2 linked regions of the Saccharomyces cerevisiae S288C genome follow. Changing the gene in region 2 together with the main gene of any one other region gives a genetic interaction. Each region holds a gene or a part of one and is shown on either strand. Other genes may lie near its edges.

Region 1 (10,696 bases), on a different chromosome or scaffold from region 2:
AGGGCTGGAATGCTCGAAGCCAAAAAGTTGTACCCTAACAATGTAATCGACATCCCAGCTGAAAAAAATATACCAGAATTTGTGGGTGGCATTGATTTATGCTTCAAGGCTTCGGATGCTCCAATCATAAAAGCTTGTCCCAGCAATGAAACAAACAATGCAAAGATGGACAGAAAAACTTGACCGCTGTACAGCGAATCTTTTTTCTTTACCTCAACGGTCTCACTTCCAGTTGTATCTGACTCTTCTAATCCGCCATCTTTGGCTCTGCCGCAGGAGCACCCGACGTTTATTAACTTTGGAGCGAAATAGCTTCCAGTCACACCAAGTATAGATGCGACCATAAACGCTATGCCTTGAAACTTGGTGTCCCAGTTAACGTGGAGCGTCAGGAATAGTGGCATAAAATAAACTACTTCGCTCATAATAAATGACGATAGGAACATGCTCCATAGTAAAATCAAGCAGGAGATGAGTTTTTTTCTTTCGACTCTAAAAAATTGTTTCAGAGCACTGAAAAGGCTATTTTCCGAATTTGTAACTTTAACCTCAGGATTTTCCAGAACGACAACTAATAAAAGGCATACTGCAAGAATTATGAAACTGGAGGCAAATGTCGGTGCATTGTAAGAGGCAATGCGATACCCTTTAATTTTAAAATCGCAATATCCAAAAAATATGACAATTAATTGTGCCAACGCCATGAAGATACCAGCCGCTGCTCGATAAATTGATAGAAGCTTGAAAACGATACCCCTATCTTGTGCAATTGACATGATGTAACTGAACACTATAGCACCAGAAGCAGATGCTGCACCACATATAATACGCCCACCGAGAAGGGTGTTTAGCGACACTGCACCGCCGCATGAATACAAAAAATTACCCACAAAGGATAAAAAGTAAAGCCCCACTATTACCCATTTAATGGACCCAAGAAAAGCAGCAATATCCCCAATAATGAATGAAACAAAAACTTGAACTGCTGCAGAAATGGCTTGAATTCTGAACAAGAATTTGTCCGGATTGGTTTCTCCGTTCTCTAAATTGTTAGCATACTAGTTCATTGAAATTATCTTAGATTTACATTAACACTTACTTCTTTGATGTAGTCAACCACACTTGAGAGATATACACAGGAGTCGAAACTGAATTGGACAGCTATCAAAATTACAGCCAAGTATTTCAAAAACATGTGTTTCTTGACACCTAAGATTTTTTTCATTTTAATTTATTGTACCACCGTCGAGTGAAATGGATGGATTTGTAATGCAATTGAGATACAATTAAGAAGAACGAAAGAGTACTTGACAACTAGAAAGTAATGTTAACTGATCTTTTATATGATGATTATTTATTGACGGCGATTCTTTTCCAGATTAGGAAATTTTGTTCCGCTTAGAATGGGATAGGCTTGTTTGGGCGCTATACTTCTGTATCAAAATAGTAAAATCAACTTATTTTAGTAATAGAAGAGAACAGTAGGCGTTTGGTAATTCTAATTACCTAGACTGTCCCCCATTTCCAGACAGCTGTCCCATATTTTTTTGAGATTCCGACGTCGAAGCGAAAGACTAGAAGAATAAGTAAAGTGGTCCTTTGTAAGCATAAAGACAAAGGCATGTGAGAAAAGTAAGTGTCTTCGCGATTCGCCGTTGTAAATATGTATCAGCTTTTTTTACTGCCTTTTCCTGGCGGATCACAGTAATGTATTTTTTTTTTTATATAATTCGAGCTCTACACTCAAGCATACATATATAGAATAGCTCAGTTTTAATGGGCTTTCTCGAGAACTATTCACCCAGAAGGATATCCTGAGCCTTATATTTAGATGTAACTTAGTAAAGTGAGAGTATTATGAATAACTTTTGAAGCTAACAAAATATCAGAAATTAAACTTCATTCAAGAATGTATTTATCTAGAAACTGGTCTTTGGCAAATGGCTCCGATGGCACACATGCAATGTTCTTGGTAAAAACTAATTTATTATTAGGCCAGTACAGAATAAAAGTTGTCATAAGAAAACTTCATTACATTTTATCTCCTCTGGCAAGTATCCAAATTCGAAAACCTCAGAAACCAGCGTTCCACCTAAAGTTTGTTTGCCCGTATGTTAAAACAGTAGCTGCCAAGTCACTTGAGTTTGAAGAATAATCTGATGCTTTTTACATAGAGGTCTATTAGGCTCTTTACTTTGTAAGCATCTCGACTTAAAAAAAAAATCTATTGTTTTTACGGGCATCGCTGAAAAACTGTGTCTGTTCTCTTTGATGCTGTCATCTAAGATTCAATTAAAGTCGACCATCAAGTTCCCTTAATAATATCCCTTGTGAGAGCTTAATCTAAAACTACAAAAGCGTTCGCAACAAGCAGTATGGACAGATCTAAGGACGCTAGAAAGAGATCTATTAGTTTGGCCTGTACTGTGTGTAGGAAACGAAAGTTGAAGTGCGATGGGAACAAGCCATGTGGAAGATGTATAAGGCTAAATACACCAAAAGAATGCATTTATAATATTGATAAAAGGAAAGACAAGAGAAAAATCAAAAACGGGTCGAAGGTTTTTTTATTCAAGAATAATACTATCGATAACGGGAATAACTCTATACTAGAGAACAAAGGACTAAATGAAGACCTTTCTTCTCATATATATGAGAAAGAAGCGCCAAAATTCGATTCAGATATTGATATATCAAGATTTGGCACAAATGATGCTGTGATTTTTAATAATGACGGGTGGGACACTTCTCTTCCGATCGATTTTGATTTCGATGAGTTTAACACTGAGACAACAGATTTCGATGACTTTTTAAAACTATTAGGCGATAATTCACCTTCAAAGGAACAAAAAAGTCTTTCCTATTCACCTACTGCTACAGGCTTAAGCGGTGTGGTTAAAGAAACTGAGAGCGAAGATAACGCTCCTACGAGGTCTCGGCTAATCGATGTCTTGTTTGAGAACAAGCTTCACTCCGTACCAGGAATATCAAAATGGCATCTATATGAGCTGGAATCCCAATACCCAAATTTGGAATGTACAGAAGGAAATAGTGATGAAAAGTTTTTACTTTCAACTGTATTGTGCCTGGGGTCGTTGACCATACGAAAAAGGGAACTATTGAATCATTCGAACATAGACAATCGTCCACTTTTGCCGGAGAATAGTATTTCAAAACTGACCACTGATGCTTTTAAGTACTATAATGCTGCGAAAACGCTTGTTCCCGACTTGTTATCTCATCCCACAATCGATGGATTTTGCGGCCTCGTTCTAATGGCAAATTTCATGACGATGATGATATCCTTAGAGCACCAATTATATTTGAGTATAAATGCTTTACAACTTGCTGTGGCTTTAAACTTGAACAACAATACAAAATGCAAGGAATTACTTGAGTCGAACAGCGACGGAATTGGTGTGATCTTGCTTTTTTGGAACATTTGGTGTTCTTCTTGCATGTTGGCAACAATTCATGGAAAAAATCCTTTTATCACTTTGGAACAAATTACAACACCTCTGCCGTGTGAAATATCCCCCCGCAATAAAACTAATAAACTTTTGATAGATTTCATGCAAATCAGAATCAAGCTAGCCACTCTACAAAGTAAGATTTTTCAACGGCTATATACTTCCAGCACCGCAAACGAGGTACCATTCGTAAACTTAGAAAGAGAATTTGAGGAGGTTTCACTCCAGATTACCAGGTTAAAAGGCTTTCCGATATTCGAAGAACATCTTTTTTACAGGAGCAGAGTCTTAATGTTAGAGCTATCATGTTTAAGAGCTCAAGCTTCTTTTCTATTATATCGTCCGTATCTGATCACTGGAGAATCCTTACAAGCAGTAACCATGGCAAAATCAATAATTCACGAAATATGGAGTCAATACACTAAACAGTTTCCCGATAACGAAAAGGAAAGGCATGAACGTTTGGATTGGAATTTTTGTTATCCTTTAAGAACAGCGTCACTGACATTATGTATTTCATGTATTATACTCCTAAGGTATAAGCAGGTGGTGCAGTTCCTTAAAGGTACTGAACTATTTGAATACATTCTAGCATTGGAAATATTGCAAGATTTAGTTCAGGTACTTCCTATTGAACAAAACCTTATTGATATAATCAAATATCCGATCAGTCCAGTACAGCTGAGTGGTGATAGCTTTGTCGAATTTTGGGGTCGCATACTTTACTAAACCGTTTCCTAGCTGATTTTTTGACACTTTATTCAGAAATGACCTTTTGAGATACAAGTTTACTAGGGGAAAGATCCATATGACATGGTAGTAGGTTTACCCTTCAAAACAACATAGATCGTAAAAAAGGTGGCTGAAGAACTTACTAAAAATGTTATATGCTTAGATTAATATATTGTCACCGGGCTACCAGTACAAACCCTTGATAATGCGACCAGACATCTGTTTTGACTTATTTATGAGCAATAATGGGTAACAAAAGAACGCTCTGAGGCAACTCTATGTGAGTCGAAACATATGTGTTTTTGGCAATTAAACAAAATACGAGAGATTCTTCTCAGAAAACATTGTCACAAGAACTTAGTATCTTTAATTTTCTGCAAACATACTGATGATTTCTTCGGCAATAGCAACTACGTGAGTTTCAAGCGCAAAATGGCCAGTATCATAGTAAACAACCTTTAAATTATCAACGTCTTTCCGATAAGCTTCAGCCCCGGCAACGCTAAAAATAGTATCATTCGCACCCCATGCAACTAGCACAGGAATCTTTGAATCTCTCAAGAACTTTTGAAAGGCTGGGTACAACTTTATATTATTCTGATAATCGAAAAATAATCTCAATTGAATATCGGTCTGGCCGGTACGCTGAATTAGCGCAATATCAAGCGTATAAGCGGCGGGATCAACAGATTCGATAGCTGGTACTCCATCATGGTACTGGCATATGACATTAGCTGGATCTTCAAGGTACGGGATAAGGGATTTAACAAATACCGGATCACTTTGATATGACTTCCAATATTCCTTCAACGGACCCCAAAAGCGGTCATCGAGACCCTCTTCGTAAGCATTACCGTTTTGAGTAACAATGCCAGTAATTCTGGAGGGAAACTTCAAGGCTAACCGAAAACCTACCGGAGATCCATAATCAAATATATACATGGCAAATTTTTCAATACTCAAAGTATCTAACAAATATCCTATACTTTCACAAAGGGAATCAAAGCTGAACTTGTAGTTTTCTGGCGTTTCCGTAAATCCGAACCCAGGAAGATCCGGAGCAATGATGTGAAACTGTCCAGCTAGTAAGGGAATGAGGTTCCTGAACATGTTGGAAGATGTAGGGAACCCATGTAGCAATAAAATTGTGGGGTTACCTGCTGCACCGGCCTCACGGTACCAAACCTTTACACCGTCTTGAACTTGAATCTTGTGAAATCTTGCAATGATATTTGACATTTTTGTCCTTCGTCCAATTCTGACAGTGAAAGAAAAGTGGTCAAGTTCAGTTAATTTGATCGTGCTTATATATGTTCTTTTTGGCTCCTATCACTTTTGGCTCCTATCACTTTTGAAATTTCTGTCACGATTATGTGCGGCGCAGTCCCTAGGCAAGTTACAGACGAATGGCATGCAGCGCCGTCTGTGGAAAAGATGAATACTGAATTATCATACCTTTAAATGACTATGTTAATAACAAAGGTGAATGGAGATTTAGAAAATGCACAATATTGAGAAAATGCATATGCGTACTTTTTGTTAGCAAACATACGATTATTTAGTCTATTAAAAAAATCTATTTACTCGTCCTCGTTGCGCACAGCAGTTGAATCAGGCTTGTGAATAGCACTACGTGCTGGCAATGCGTCTGGAATATTGCTAGTGGCAGGCTGGTCTATCTGTGACGTGTGCTCTTGTTCGGGTCTGTAAGCATCTTCTTGTTCAATTTCAAAATTACTGTCTTGACTTGTGAAACTGGATAAATCGTTAGCATCTTCATGCAAGCCATCTGATTCATCTGAAAACTGACCCTGAAGCAGCGAAGAGTAAGTAGGACCTTTTCTGTTGCCAAACCTTGCCCTTAATTTTGAAGAAAAGCGTGCTACACCTGCCTTCGTGCGTTGAAATGCAGACTTGGTAATTAAAGAAATGCATAATCCTAGTCTTACAATGATGTTGACAACTCTATCGGTCCTATTGTTTTCTATCAGCCCATCGTCTCCTAATCTTATTTCTTCAAATCTTGAAAATCCCCCATTTCTCCTGATACCTCTATCGTATACAAACCATGCGGCAAAGAAAATAACGAGAAGAATTGTAACAAAAACCAGCGCATAAGCGCCGGTGTTTATAGAATATTTTTCCCTGAATGCCTTTTCTTTTCCCGGACAAGGATGTGGTGCTAAATGTGCATCCAATTTCAGCCCACCTTTACAGGTTGATAAGGGAATTTTTCGATAGCCAGAGGAATCATAGTATTCAATTAAGTCGGGTTCCTTTTTGCAGATATCGGCACCATTCGCCGAACTTAAGCCTTTGACTAATTTACAAGTACCATCACTGGCTTTATAAAAATTATAGTCACATTCGAAATCTTGCCTCGTACATGAACAGTTTTTGACGTTCCTCGAAAATTCAGAAAGTGGAATATTCCCAATAAAACATTTTTCATCGGTTTTACGTAAAAACTCGGTTTGATGACCAAATAGACAACCAGTTCTGGAACCCAGAGGAGAGTACTTAAAATCTGCCCTTTTTTTACCCGTAATATCAAACTCACATTGCCTCTCGAAGATGTTTCTAAAATCAATTGTATACGTTCTGAATGAACCACTACCCATGTTTTTTGCTTCTCCAAATAGCAAAAACCTCAAAGCAGAATCTCTGGGAACGGTGATTATATCCTTTACGAGGACTTTGTCGCCACAGAATTTATAATCTTTCCATGTTTTACCAAAATCGGTGGAGTAAGAAATAGAATCAGTTTCTGCGTTTTCGGGGACCAAAACCAAGACTCCACCATGATCACCGTACTCCCATTGATGGGGGCCTTTTTTAACCTCAGTCCACGTCTCTCCTCCATCAGTGGTTAAAAAAGTGGAACACTCCTCATATGGTAGAAGCTTATCGCCAACATTTCCGACACCAAACATCATTCCTAACGCGGAACCGGAGGAATATGTATCCCTGATATCCTTACGTTCAGTGTAACCATGCAAATGTAGAGAACATTTATCTAATGATACAGAATCACAGGGAAACTTTTTCCCTTCCGAATCCTTCTTTGGAGGCTTCAAAAAGTTCCAATCTGAACCGTCATTAAAGGTGATTTTCGTCTTCAATTGTTCGTCTTCCTTGTTCTCTCCAACCTTTTCCCTATTCGAAACGATGTTGGTAATAATAATACCTTCAAGACCTTGAACTTTTTCAAAGTCGACATAACCGAATGTGTTTCTATTAACGGCATGCTCTAAAGTGACAAAAGAAGTACCATTCGAGTTGGATTTCAAAAGGTTTCCAAAATCGTGTCCTGATTCTAAGTTTGTTGCTAAATGTAAAAATATCGATCCTTTCTCAGATCCTAAAATAGTGAATGCCTCTTGCTTACTAACATCTTGACCATACGGGAATTTTGCCTCGGCAAACTCAGTACCATCAATAGTTACATATGCCCTCAACTCATTGTCTTCATGAGGTACGGCAACAATAATATAGCCACCAGTGGACAAGTAGCCGATAATGTTTTCAAAGATAATTTTATTATCACCTTGGAAAAAATCTATCGAAGAAACCAAGCTTCTTGTTTCTGAAGACTTCTTTTTTACTTGGCACATAACCATCTCCTCATTTGACGGATATTCAAAGAGTGTGCCTGCAAACTCACAATGAATTGCATTATCAAGCATTTCTGTAAAAGTTTCACCTCCATCTTTGGTGAGGTATGCTACTGCATGACATTCTGGACTTAAGATTGATTCACAATTCTTGCCACCATAGTAAATAAAAGTATCCTGTGCTTTAGCACTAAAATCTAGTGGCATACCTAATTGCCTGGCTTCAGGTAATTTAGCTATCATAAAAGAGTGTCCTCTATCGTGTGTTGAGAATATGTTACCTTTAGAGCCAAACAAATATGCTGAAGAATTGAAATATGGGTTAAACACAACTTCAACAATTTTTTCGCCGTTAGTGTCAAACCTTTTTATTGTTTGTCCACCATCGTGGGATATATAGGCGTCTCCTATCGAATTCAGCATGACCAAAGATTCGTCGGCAACTGTATCGAAGTATTGGTAAAATTTAATTTCGAAGTCAAATTTGTTTTCAGTGGTCACTATTTCCCTGTCACTCGAACCCTCCTCTGGAATTTCGTCACACGGAATATCAACGGGTTCAATTTTCATGGGTGTTTTACATTCATCACCTTTGATTAATTGTAATGGCTCTACTAACACAGATTTATCCTTCGATTTGTCACATATGTTGGAAAAGGCAATCAGATTATAATCTGGTATACACAGGCCGTTTGCGTCCCTAACAAATTCAAACGAACATTCGTAGTCGGATTCACCACAACTATTACAAGGCGTTTCATCTAAACTCAAATCTTTGAATGCTTTTTTTACCAAACACTGGGCGTCTTGTTTCCTCCTTCTATACTTGTATTTGGCGCCATTAACACATTTCCCATCCGCCAAATCCCAATCTTCAAAATCTTCCTCCTCACACGTTCTAGAGTCGAATGCTGCTGAAAAATCAATTATATACTCGACACCTTTTAAAGAAGTTATACTGTTGGTTTCGGAATCGGTAGTGGCAAACGTTCCTTTAAAAATAAATTTTGAGCCAGATCCATCTGGTGTTGGATTTATCAATTTGTAGGGATGGACAGAACTTATGGCATTGGTCAGCTCATATTCATTCCATGTTCTACCTTGGTCCAAAGAATAATAAAATTCAGATTGAAAATCGCCATCTTCCTCTGGATCATATGGGATATACACAATAATATTTCCCAGGTCACCAGTAGCATATAACCCAGAAGAATTATGAACAAATCTCCACGTTAAACCGCCATCTCTAGAGATGAAAGTTTTTTGGTCTTCCCAATCGAATTCACTACCGTCGCCAACGGAACCTGTCATTAACATAATTCCGGCAGTAGGATTTGAGATTTAGATACTATAAAAAGGGTTCTGGAGCGAACATCTTTCAGGCCTAGTGATATCACAAGGGAATGAATCTGCATTTTCCTCGTCAACCACTTTCAAATTTGACCATGTGAGGCCGTTATCAACAGATATTTTAGTTTCATATCTGGCTATCTTTTTATTATATTTTCCTTTGTTATGAGAGTAGTCAAAGGAAGGATGAAACGAGCCAATTATTGTTCCTTCTAAGAAATGAGGAGAAGCAATATCAATATAACCAAAGTGAGGATTTATTGTCCATTCAACAGGTAAAAATTTCAACCCTTGAGAATCTGATATTAAAATTTCTGAGGGAGCTGGTTGGTCGTTTTTTTCATCTGTGAATATCGTAGATATAGGAATGATTATTCTTCCAATAGAATCTTCATAAATTCCATACATATGGACGTGCCGTACTTGAGCAGGTAGACGTGCCTTTTGAAAAGTAGACGCATCATTGGATATCCAGATGTCCATGGGTGACATTTCATTGTATCTATCATCTTGTGTCGAAACGATTATATGTGATTTTAATATCTTGTATTGATAAATAATTTTATCATTAAACTCATCAAATTTTTTGAAAGTTTTACCTCCATCAGTACTTAAGGCTAATTGTGTATATGCGGCACTTAAGTGACGATCGCTATCGTAACCATGGTTCGAGAACAAACATAGTATCGAAGCGTCGTTACCCTCAATATCAGAATCCTTGCTAGATTTGACAAAGTTGCAGCTTGAACTTGTTATATGGTCATCTTCTTTCTTTTTCAAGGAAGGTTCGATATTGTAAAAGGATTCCCCATCGTTGGTAAAGTAAGTTTCATTTTGTATTTGGATATAACCATTGTCGTTTATAAAGCAAGGGCAATCTGCAATAAGGTACTTTTTATCTGTCGGATGGGTAGCTATAGAGCAAGAAGTACCCAAACGACAGTTTTCAGAGACGGGTATAGTCAGAGCCCTCCATGATTTTCCACGATCATCGGTGACGTAAAATTTGGGTGATAAATGTATCGAAACAAAAGCCCTGTCCTGTCCATGCAAAGGATCAACAATTAATTCGAGAATATGCCCTTCAATTTCTTTGACCGCTTCCCAATTTTCTCCAGAATCGGAACTTATCCACACGACTTGATTATCTAATCTGATTAAACTGTTGGAATCGTCAAAGCTCTCTAGACTAAATGAATATTCTGAAAGAGTCTCCGTTACTTTGGGGACGAATTCCTCTGCATTGAGTAACGGAATAAAGAGACATGTCCAAATCGTGCATATGACTTGGAGTAATATCATAATTGAGGATCTCTTACCTTTTCTTAGTTCAAAGCTTTTTTTCAAAGCTCGGAACTTTATGCTACGATTCAATGACTAAAAAAAAGGTAGCGGATAATCTTTTGGTTGCAAATTGGCGGCATTTAAATATATTTTGGGTTGCAAATATTCTAAAAATATTCTCATAATATTCTAAAAATATCTAGCCTAGGTAATTGCAATTATTTTGAGTCTGGTTATTTTGAGTTG
Region 2 (10,299 bases):
GATATTCTTTAAATTTTGATCTGTGACGGGAGGCTGCAGGTTTCGGATTCTTACTTTTAGATGGCTCATCACTGAATATAAAGAACTTTAGGAAAAAGATGAACAACAACACTATGCTTAGCTGTCCTACAAAAAACCCTTGAGCAAACGACCATCCAGAAAATTTGGAGGACGTTGCTAACGATCCTAACGAAGAAGGATGCAACACGCTTTGCATTTGCAAAGCTTGAATTGCATCATCGAGACCTTTGAAGCTCCCGTTTTTACTGACATTAAACTCTGAGTTGTTTGAAGTTTGCTTTAAGTCATTAGTAGTAGAACCCTTCAAATTCTCCATGATTAGTCTCTGTAAATGTTCAGGTAGCTCTTTGCTTATATAATCGTCAAACGTCATTAACGAATCCGTTTCGGTGGATTCATTCTCACTATCAGTCATTTTCAGAAAAAGGCTACAGGTATTATATTGACTCTCTCAAAGTTCTTTCATCTCATTGAGAAAATTATGAGGGGCACTTATTGTTGTAGATGATCTTTATTGGATGTTGACGGTTCTTCGGAATTGAAACGGATAGGCAGAAAGTGAAAAAATAAACTATTAAGGAAATACATGAAAAGAAGTAAACTGAAATGTATACAAGGGCAACCCGTTCCACGTTGGATTGACTCAATTGTGTCATCAGTAGGAAAATAGATTAAAGTAACCTCAAATAACGGCATAAGCAATGAAGCATAACAGGCAGATGCCAGATGAAAGCTTGGAAAACATAAAAGTGCTACTGAATCCTAAATTAGGAAAGCCAGTCAAGTCACTTACGAGTGCACAATCAAAAGCTTGCTATCATACGCTGATCAGTAATAAAAATTTGAACAAGACAAGTGATGAATACGAAAAGTTATTGGCAAACTATATCCTCCTTTGTGATGAAAAATACCTATGTAAAACCGTAATTCCAGATTCCCGATTTTGGGCTATATTGTGTGATAATTGCCAAAAGCTAAGGTCAGAAACGTTGGTAGCAAATCTCATTAGGATTTTTAATGTAGCCCTTAAATGCCAAGATTCTAATAAGAATGAAGTTATTGTGAGCATCTGCCACATCTCCAGAGAGAACTCTCAGCTCATTGGAATACTTTTACAACTTTTGTCCCAAAGACCTATTCATATACCGTTGTTTACGGACACTATACTATGCATAACCCTATTTTTAAAATGCTCACTTACATTATGTGAGACATCACTATCACACGCCGTAGAATTTGTACCCAGAATCCTCATTTTGCTATTTCAGTATAACTTTCCAGCTTCCATGTCTGAATTACTTTACATAGAAGACTTGCAACCACTAATCCTTGAAGAATTTGTACCGTTAAAGCAGAGGCTAATAAATTTTCTATCTTCGGTTAGTATTGATGATTATTCCTGTTCGCTTAAAGCTGATCTTCTTACAGCCATCAAAGATAACTCCGTATTCCAAAAAGGGTTAGAAATGGAAATGGGCGATCTTCCCAGTATAAATTTATTAAATGCGTATGATACATTCACATTCTTAAACAGTCCTAATGGGTCTTTCAAGAGACTTTACACTGAACAATTGTTGTTTGGCGAGAACGATTTCCCTCTTTATGAAGCAATATTTAAACTTTCAGACCAATTTAGAAGACTTTTCAATCTAAGTGGGAAAAAAGAGAACCAATACTCAGACTCAGAGCGTGATTTAAAATTACAAATTGCTACCGCTGTTCTCAATCGACAAACATGTTTTTACAAAACACTCGAGTTGTTTTTGAGATTTTGGATAGAATCATTAGCAAAATCGCAAAGTGATTTGGTTTCACTGTTAAATTTAGCTATTATCACTTTAAAATATGTTTGTTTGTCATCCAGTGATTTGGAAGCAGCAATACAGACGAAATCCCTTCTCAAGACCCAAGTTGTTGCACTTGACTCTATGAGATATAAATTTGCAAGAACATTACAATTAGACTCAATCAAAAAAGAACAGTATCGAACCTGGTCATCTAGTATCGCTAGCTTCGATACCATGCTATCAGGCCAGGTTCGTGATTACGTTCGTCATCAAAGACTTCTTCAATTGCAAAAGGGAACGTGGGTTTACGCAGAGAACCCACTGAATCCTGAAGCTGGCACGCCTAAAGTCTACTTCCTCATAGTTTCAGATAACCACGCAAATTTATTAGCCAGAGAATTCGAAACACAAACAAACGATTTACCTTATCTATTCGACAATAAAATTTTAACAAGTCCAGGTTCTGAGGCATTAGCTAATGGCAGAACAAAAGTTGTTGTTTTGAAACATATAACCTCTTTCAAAAGCATAGAACTTACTACACCGAGTCGTCGGACGAGCAGTAATGTTTACATCAAATTAGATGAAGCCAATGTGTACACTGGAGTTGAATTAAAAGATCGTAACGACAGGACAGTTTTGAAATTTTATTTAGACACAGAAGAGGGAAGATATATATGGCTAGACGGATTGAAATTGATATCTCCATTCCAGCATGAAGATATATCAGAAGACACGAAAGAACAAATAGACACTTTATTTGATTTGAGGAAAAATGTTCAGATGATAAATTTGAACGTTCGTCAGGACATCATAGTGCCTCCACCTGAACCAAGCGACGAGGACGAAGATGAAGAATTTTATAACTTGGAAACGTTAAAGAAAGTAACCCAAAATTTTTATTTTGATTAAGATACAAATTTGTCGTCAGACGATTTTTTTTTATTTATAACTTTTTTTTACTAGAATGGAATGTAATTTTGTAATTCTTTCCCGCAAGTAGCTTGAGTCTCCATTCAGTTCGTTTGTACTTGAAAAATCCTTTTAATATAGCATATAGCTTGCAGTTTATTAATACTCACTTCTACAGATTCAACAAAAAAAAAGGAATTTTTGACTAATCCCCTGTTTATTAGATGAATTAATGATATTTAAATACAAAGTATTAATAATATAATGACAGTGATAAGTATGTTGATATTTTATGATAATGACGATGAAAATTATTACCTACGGCTTTTGAAGCCCTTCTTCTTATTTGAATTTGTACTCTTCTGCTTTTTAAAAGTTCTTTCTTGATCTGCAATACGGTCGGTTTTGGTTTTTCTATAAGAACGTGCACCATTGCCATCTGCCTTAGCTTCTTCACGCTTTCTCTTTTTGCTGTTAGTGACTTTCTTGTTCCTTGATAAAGCACCTAATACTTTGGAATTTTTCTTATCTGATTCGCTTTGGAACCATGTCCTTCTTGGTCTTGCCTGGATTTCCTTTTTATGCTTCAACATATTTTCACCCTTTCTTAATTGCATTTCAGCCCTTAATATTTCCTTCTCCTCCTTTTCTTCCACCAGAATATCTTCAATCGTATCGTTCATGGATTCAACAAGTTTGTTTGTTTCTTCGATTTGAACCCAGTCTACGTTTCTACCAAGTGCTTTACCTTGAGTTAGGGACTTATTTTCTTCTACACTCTTTATAGCAGCACGTACAATACTTCTATCTTGAGATGATTCACCGACGAAGGTGACGGAACGACCTTCCCTACCAGCTCTGGCGGTACGACCAACTCTATGCAGGTAGATCTCATAACTCTTGGGCATATCGTAGTTGATAACAACCTCAATCTTGGGGATATCAAGACCTCTGGAGGCCAAATCCGTACAGATAAGTACAGGAACTTCCAAATTTTTGAATTTATTAACGGAATCTAAACGCTGTTCTTGGGTTAAAGAACCGTGTAATTCACCCACACTCATACCTAAAAGACCCATGATAATCCTTAACCTATGAGCAGTTTCTTTTCTAGCCACAAAAACGACAATCCTCTTTTGACCCGTTGGATCCAATTTCCTAATCAAATTAAATAACAAGGCAGGCTTCAAATGGTCTCTTTTACGAATACGAACGAATTCTTGTGTCAACTTAGTAGCAGCTTTCTTTGGAGGATCAATCATAATCCTTACTGGTTTTTTTAGAGAAAGACTAACTAAACTTTTAATTTTGGAGTTCATTGTAGCAGAAAACAATAGGTTCTGTCTATTGCTTGGTAATAGGCCCATAATTTCGTTCAGTTCATCTTGAAAACCTTCTTCTAACATTCTATCGGCTTCATCCATAACCAGAATCTCTACTGAGTCCACATTAAAACTTGCTGAGTTCCTGATATGATCAATGAATCTACCTGGGGTAGCAATGACGATGTCCGGACGAGATTTCAACATTTGTTCTTGTTGTCTCAAGTTCAAACCACCAACGGCCAGACCAAAGGTTATACCGGAGACGAAACGTGCAATTTGTTTACCAACGTCAGCGACTTGGATAGCTAACTCACGAGTGGGCAATAGAACAATAACTCTGGTGGAAGCGATTTTGGCTGGTTTATACAACAAACGCTCGATTATGGGAATCATAAACGCAGCAGTCTTACCGGAACCAGTCACAGCACCGGCAATGATGTCTTTACCCAATAAGGCAATGGGGATTGTGGCGCTTTGAATAGGGGAAGGCTTGACGTAACCCAAACTTGCAAGGCCCTTAAGAACCGGACGAGATAAAGACAAACTGTTGAAATTTTCGTACATTTGCTTTTTAGCTTCATCTCCCTCAGTTTCAGGCGCATAGAAATCGGCTTTTGCCTCTTCAGAATCGTCTTCTTCATCTATTTCGTCATCTTTGCCGCCTTTTTCTAACGTCATCTCTTCTTGTTCCTCCTCTTCCTCCTCTTCCTCTTCCTTTTCCTCCTCTTCTTCTTCTTCTTCTGACTGATTTTCGTCTCCATTGTTCATGGGAGCTCCCATACCGAACCCGTCCATTGCTAATTCCTCATCGTCGCTATCGTTTTCTTTTTCTACTTTTTCTTTCTCGGTTTCTTCTTCTTGTTTACTATCAATATGGGCCATTTTCACCAGCCCACCTTTTCTTCTAATAATCTTATCCAAGTCAACGTCCTTCTTCACAAAAGCTTCGGCATCGTCCTTATTGGACTCGCCCTCTGCTAGAAAGTTCCAGCCTTGGAAGTTCGAAGTGGTATCATCGGCGTCCAAATCAAACTTAAACCCCGCGTCCAAGTCCTCATGAACATCCTCATCGAGGTTATCCCCCTCACTAACCTTTTTCTTGTTATTCTTACCCTTCCGCTTCTTCGTAGTCTTCTTAGCCTCGACTTTTTCGTCATCAGAAGAATCTAGAATTGGAACATCGTCTTCACTGTCACTGATTGTAGGGACAAAGTCCAAATTAGAGTATTTTTTAGTTCCTACCACCATAGTATATATATAAGACGCTGTTGTAGGCACACAGCTCCAATTCGAAACCCAAGTTACCAACGTAAATACTCATACTATCTAAGCATATTCTAACTTACAATTTTCAACCTCATCTCATCGCATTTTTTGAAAATTTTTTTTCAAATCATTACCCGGATAATGTTATAACCCTACCTATCTCCTTCAAAAAAAGATAAAATGACGATATATAGCGGCGAATCAGAATCTAGTAACCACCTAACTACTTGTCTCTAGTACAACTAAACAAAATTTTAGTGTACACAATCAGATAACTACACAATCAATTATACCCAATGACTGAAACTGACAAGAAACAAGAACAAGAAAACCACGCGGAGTGCGAGGACAAACCTAAGCCATGTTGCGTTTGTAAGCCAGAAAAGGAGGAGCGGGATACATGCATCTTATTCAATGGACAAGACTCTGAAAAATGCAAGGAATTCATTGAAAAGTACAAAGAGTGCATGAAGGGTTATGGCTTCGAAGTTCCAAGTGCAAATTAGTCTTACTGACAGTCTGCCGACAACCATTTCTTGTATATATAAGAATAGGTATTCACAAACTATAGTATATACTACCTGTAAATATGTGCGATGCACAATTAACATTACCTCATCACTACTACACCACTTCTACTGCTAGCACTGTCCTCTTGTGCTTGGCCCCTTAAGAGTGTTCTAAGACCACGTGACCAGAAAAGGACGTATCACGTGACACAAACCTAATAACTTTTTTAGGAAACCCTAAGTCAGGGCACGCTTGCTTTGTTTCTTTTTTTTCTGGAAAGAACGGAAAAAAAAAAAAGTCTGGGATTAGTTAGTGTATATTAAGTGAAAAAGTATAGAAATAGGTGTCGAGAAGAAGTGCTCGTTGAACCATACTGCTCACAATACTCTTTCATTGAACTCTTTATTACGTTGTCGTCAAGTACAACTCCTTCCTTTATCGCCTGCCTAGCCTATAGTCTGCTCTCTTCGTGTCATTCCTTATAGCATAATCAATCGCACTTCCCCTTTCATTGTGCGTTTATCCAAGCTTTTTATTTGCCTACATTCGTGTTCGTAAGCTTTAACAACAATAAGTAGCAAAACAGTATGGGTTTCATATCGTCAATACTGTGCTGCTCTTCCGAGACGACACAATCCAATTCCAATTCTGCTTATCGCCAACAACAGAGCAGTTCTCTCAATAAAAACAGAAGCGTTAAACATTCCAACACGAAAAGCCGAACCCGTGGCGTACATCAGACAAACTCTCCTCCTTCTAAGACAAATTCAGCCGCTACTTTCAGTTCCACTGAACGATCCACCGGTAAATCTGGGATAAGCACGAACGATAATGAAAAAAAGAAGCCATCGTCGCCGACTGCAGCCGTCACCGCCACTACTACTAATAATATGACAAAAGTAGAGAAGCGAATTAGTAAAGATGATCTTTACGAGGAAAAATACGAGGTTGACGAAGATGAAGAGATCGACGATGAAGATAACCGTCGCAGTCGTGGCATTGTACAGGAAAAAGGAGATGCTGTGAAAGATACTTCCAGGCAGAAAAAACAACAGCAGCAACAACAACAACAGTCACAACCACAACCACAACCCCAGTCACAGTCACAGTCACAGTCGCAGTCGCAGTCGCAGCAGCGAGGGCCTACTGTACAAGTATCGTCTGACCATCTTATCCAAGATATGAATTTGAGTAGGGTAAGTAGCAGCTCTCAAGCCAGTGAAACTTCCAACGATGCCGACGACGAAGACGATGAAGATGAAGAATATATTGATCTAACGCTTTTGCAGCAGGGCCAGTATCATGCACCAGGTTACAACACTCTGCTCCCCCCACAAGATGAAAGTACAAAGGGCAAGAAATGCCTAATACTGGACCTGGATGAAACCTTGGTACACTCTTCTTTCAAATACTTACGATCTGCGGATTTTGTTTTGTCTGTGGAAATAGATGACCAAGTACACAATGTCTATGTCATTAAAAGACCTGGTGTGGAAGAATTTTTGGAAAGAGTCGGAAAATTATTCGAGGTTGTAGTCTTCACGGCTAGTGTCTCTCGATACGGTGATCCTTTGCTTGATATATTAGACACAGATAAAGTCATTCATCACAGATTATTCAGAGAGGCTTGCTATAACTATGAAGGAAACTATATAAAAAACTTATCCCAGATTGGAAGGCCGTTATCAGATATCATCATTCTCGATAACTCTCCGGCATCTTATATTTTTCATCCCCAACATGCAATACCGATTTCGTCCTGGTTCTCAGATACTCATGATAACGAATTATTAGATATTATTCCTCTTTTAGAAGACCTTTCTGTGAAAACCTCACTGGATGTGGGCAAAATTTTGGATGTAACAATATAATGAGCACTTTCGCCCGAATTTCTTGTGGCCCCCGCTACCAAAGAATGAAGATGAAGAAGATGAAGAAAAGAACCAGAGAACAAAAAGTTTTTTCTTTTTTTTTCTTTTTTTTTTTGGCTCAACACACTGTACCCATGCTGTCCCTTGACATTTTTTTTTTCAACTTCTTCTACCATTACGACACAATGTATTCATATATAAATTCATAATCTAATAAAATGGTAATTTTAATTTAACGGGACTGGCGTGAACATTTATCAAATACATGTGAATTAAAAATTAAAAAAATGCAAATATTGTACATATGTGTATATACAGACAACATAAAACAGAATAACTACTTTTCTTGAGTATCACGTTTGTCATCTTCCTTTCTTCTTTTCCTATCTCTTCCTGAATCTTCATATTTGTGCACGGTACCAACGATTTGTTTCTTCCTTTCGGAAATGTATGGCATATCCTTTCTAGTACGCCTTTCATTAGCTTCTCTTCTCTTAATAGAACTCAACTCAATGTTCTTAATTTCCTGAGCCTTTTTGATGACTTGTGGCACGTGTCTATGTCTACTGATTCTTTTGATCTCCGGCATATGTCTAAATCTTTCTTTTAATTTTTCGTCATATTCTAATTTATTCTTTTCACGAGTAGTTTTGACATTAGACCTCTCCCAAGCTTTACTTCTCCATAGCCTAACATTCCCATCATCAGATCCACTGATAATATATTTAGAATCCATGGAATATTTAACCTGGAAAACATGCTGCATTCTCTTCGTATGATAAATTTCTCTCGAATGTCCGTGATTCGTCTTATATATTCTGATACTCTTATCGTACGAACCAGTAACAATCTCATCCCCCGTAGGAGAAAAGTCAACATCCATTACTGCGCTGACGTGATCTTTGAATACATTCAATGAACGTGATAAATTCCTCATATCATAATAGTAGGCGTTATGATCTTCATTGGCAGTTACAAAGTTGAAGGCCTCCATTGGATTCCAGCAAATAGCATTCGTCCTCATTGTTTGAACAATCTTTTGTGTGGGGGAGTTGGTTCTCAAGTCGTAAAGAACAATAGAATTATCACTACCAGTACTGGCCAAGATATCTGTTTCATTTTGATTGAATTTTAAACTAGTAATGTTGTCTGCTCCCCATGATAGATCGGAAACTGGCTTCAATCTGTTAACGTCCCAAAGATGGATCTTGGCCCCACCTGTGGCAAACGTGGAGTTTTCTCTGTGCGAATCGATACCTTGAAATGCAGATTCACCGTCAAAAGTACGAATCAAACCTTCCTCGTTAGTAACGGAGTCGTTATCACTGGAGTTTTTATTGGAGTAATCATCAACATTTATTGACCATAGCTTGACAGTTTTGTCATCACTGCAAGATAACATAAAATTTTGGCTCTTCAAATCTGGCTTCTTGTCATGAAAACGAGGCTGTGTCACACAAAGACCAGTAACGAGTCCATAATGCGCCTTAAAGGAAACAAATTCTTCTCTAGTAGACATGTTCCAGTATTTAATCACACCATCTGCAGAACCAGTAGCCAATTTATTCAGACTACCATAATTTTTGGCAATAGCATAAACACCATCTCTATGACCGTATCCTAACTGACCCACAAAGGGTTTAGCAAACATTCTTTCCAATTTGGTGGCATTCAAAGCTTTAGTATATTCACGTGCCCTTTCAAAAGGATGCAATTCAGGGTTCAAATTCCTGGGCATTTGAGATTCCTGCGTACTTTTAACAGGGACATAGTCATCAGCACTTCTTTTAATGGTCTTAATCTTCATTTTAACGCCTTATCTTCGCGAGTCAAACTACGTTAATGAAATGCGGTTGCTTTATACAACTGTAATGTAATTCAAACTCATCGATTTTTTTTCAATATCAAATTTTTCAAAAAAATGTATCGTTATGCACGGTGATGTCCCAACTCCCGACAATTTGTGACACAATACTTCAAAAAAAAAGAACAATTAAAAACTAAAAATTTACTAGCCCTCTATCTATGTATTCCCAAGTATAATTTATATTAACCTATATATCATGCTTCCTCTTCAAGCCTTCTCAGCAACCATTTCCAGCTCCGTTTCCACCTCTGTGTCCGAACAATCACTTTCAAAGGCGCTGGATGGCTTCTTGGAGTAATAGTTGTTCAAATTCTGTAAAATTGGTTTACCAATTCTCTCTATGACATCATGTGCCCATAGGACATCAATATGGGCATACTCATCAATGTACCAGATCTTGTAGTTGACATTCGACTCCACATTGACGAAATGATTGATTAGTCTTTCTCCGTCCACCAATCTATCTTGCTTTGGAACAAACAAGTAGATATTTGGGGCCTTTGATGCGTCTGAAAACCACTTAACATTGTCGGGGAACATCTTATGGGAACCAAATTTAAAACTTACCTTGTTGGGGTCGGGTGACAGCCACCATTGCATCAACTTCACTGAAACATGGACTGGCGAAAACAGGAAATGGCGATCTCTTAATGCGGTATCCCAAAGGGTATCGTTCCAATCAAACAGGTAATTGAAGATGGTGTAACAAACAAAGGAGAACAAGCTCTCACCAACGCACA

The links.
Region 1: mutations in YLL006W-A (region 2) and YNR064C together harm fitness more than expected from each alone (negative genetic interaction), as found in Saccharomyces cerevisiae (one large-scale study listed by BioGRID).

What each region holds. Positions count from the first base shown.
Region 1 is NC_001146.8:744,568-755,263, forward strand, and holds YNR064C (epoxide hydrolase), read right to left. Parts: upstream 5,442-10,696; coding exon 4,569-5,441; downstream 1-4,568. Other genes in the region: PUL3 (Pul3p), read right to left, coding at 1-776; PUL4 (Pul4p), read left to right, coding at 2,376-4,199; YNR065C (uncharacterized protein), read right to left, coding at 5,783-9,133; YNR066C (uncharacterized protein), read right to left, coding at 9,158-10,468.
Region 2 is NC_001144.5:126,723-137,021, reverse strand, and holds YLL006W-A (uncharacterized protein), read right to left. Parts: upstream 678-10,299; coding exon 501-677; downstream 1-500. Other genes in the region: ERMES complex subunit MMM1, read right to left, coding at 1-436; LMO1 (Lmo1p), read left to right, coding at 723-2,720; DRS1 (putative ATP-dependent RNA helicase), read right to left, coding at 3,035-5,293; copper metallochaperone COX17, read left to right, coding at 5,608-5,817; PSR1 (phosphatase), read left to right, coding at 6,409-7,692; rRNA-processing protein SOF1, read right to left, coding at 8,030-9,499; YEH1 (sterol esterase), read right to left, coding at 9,767-10,299.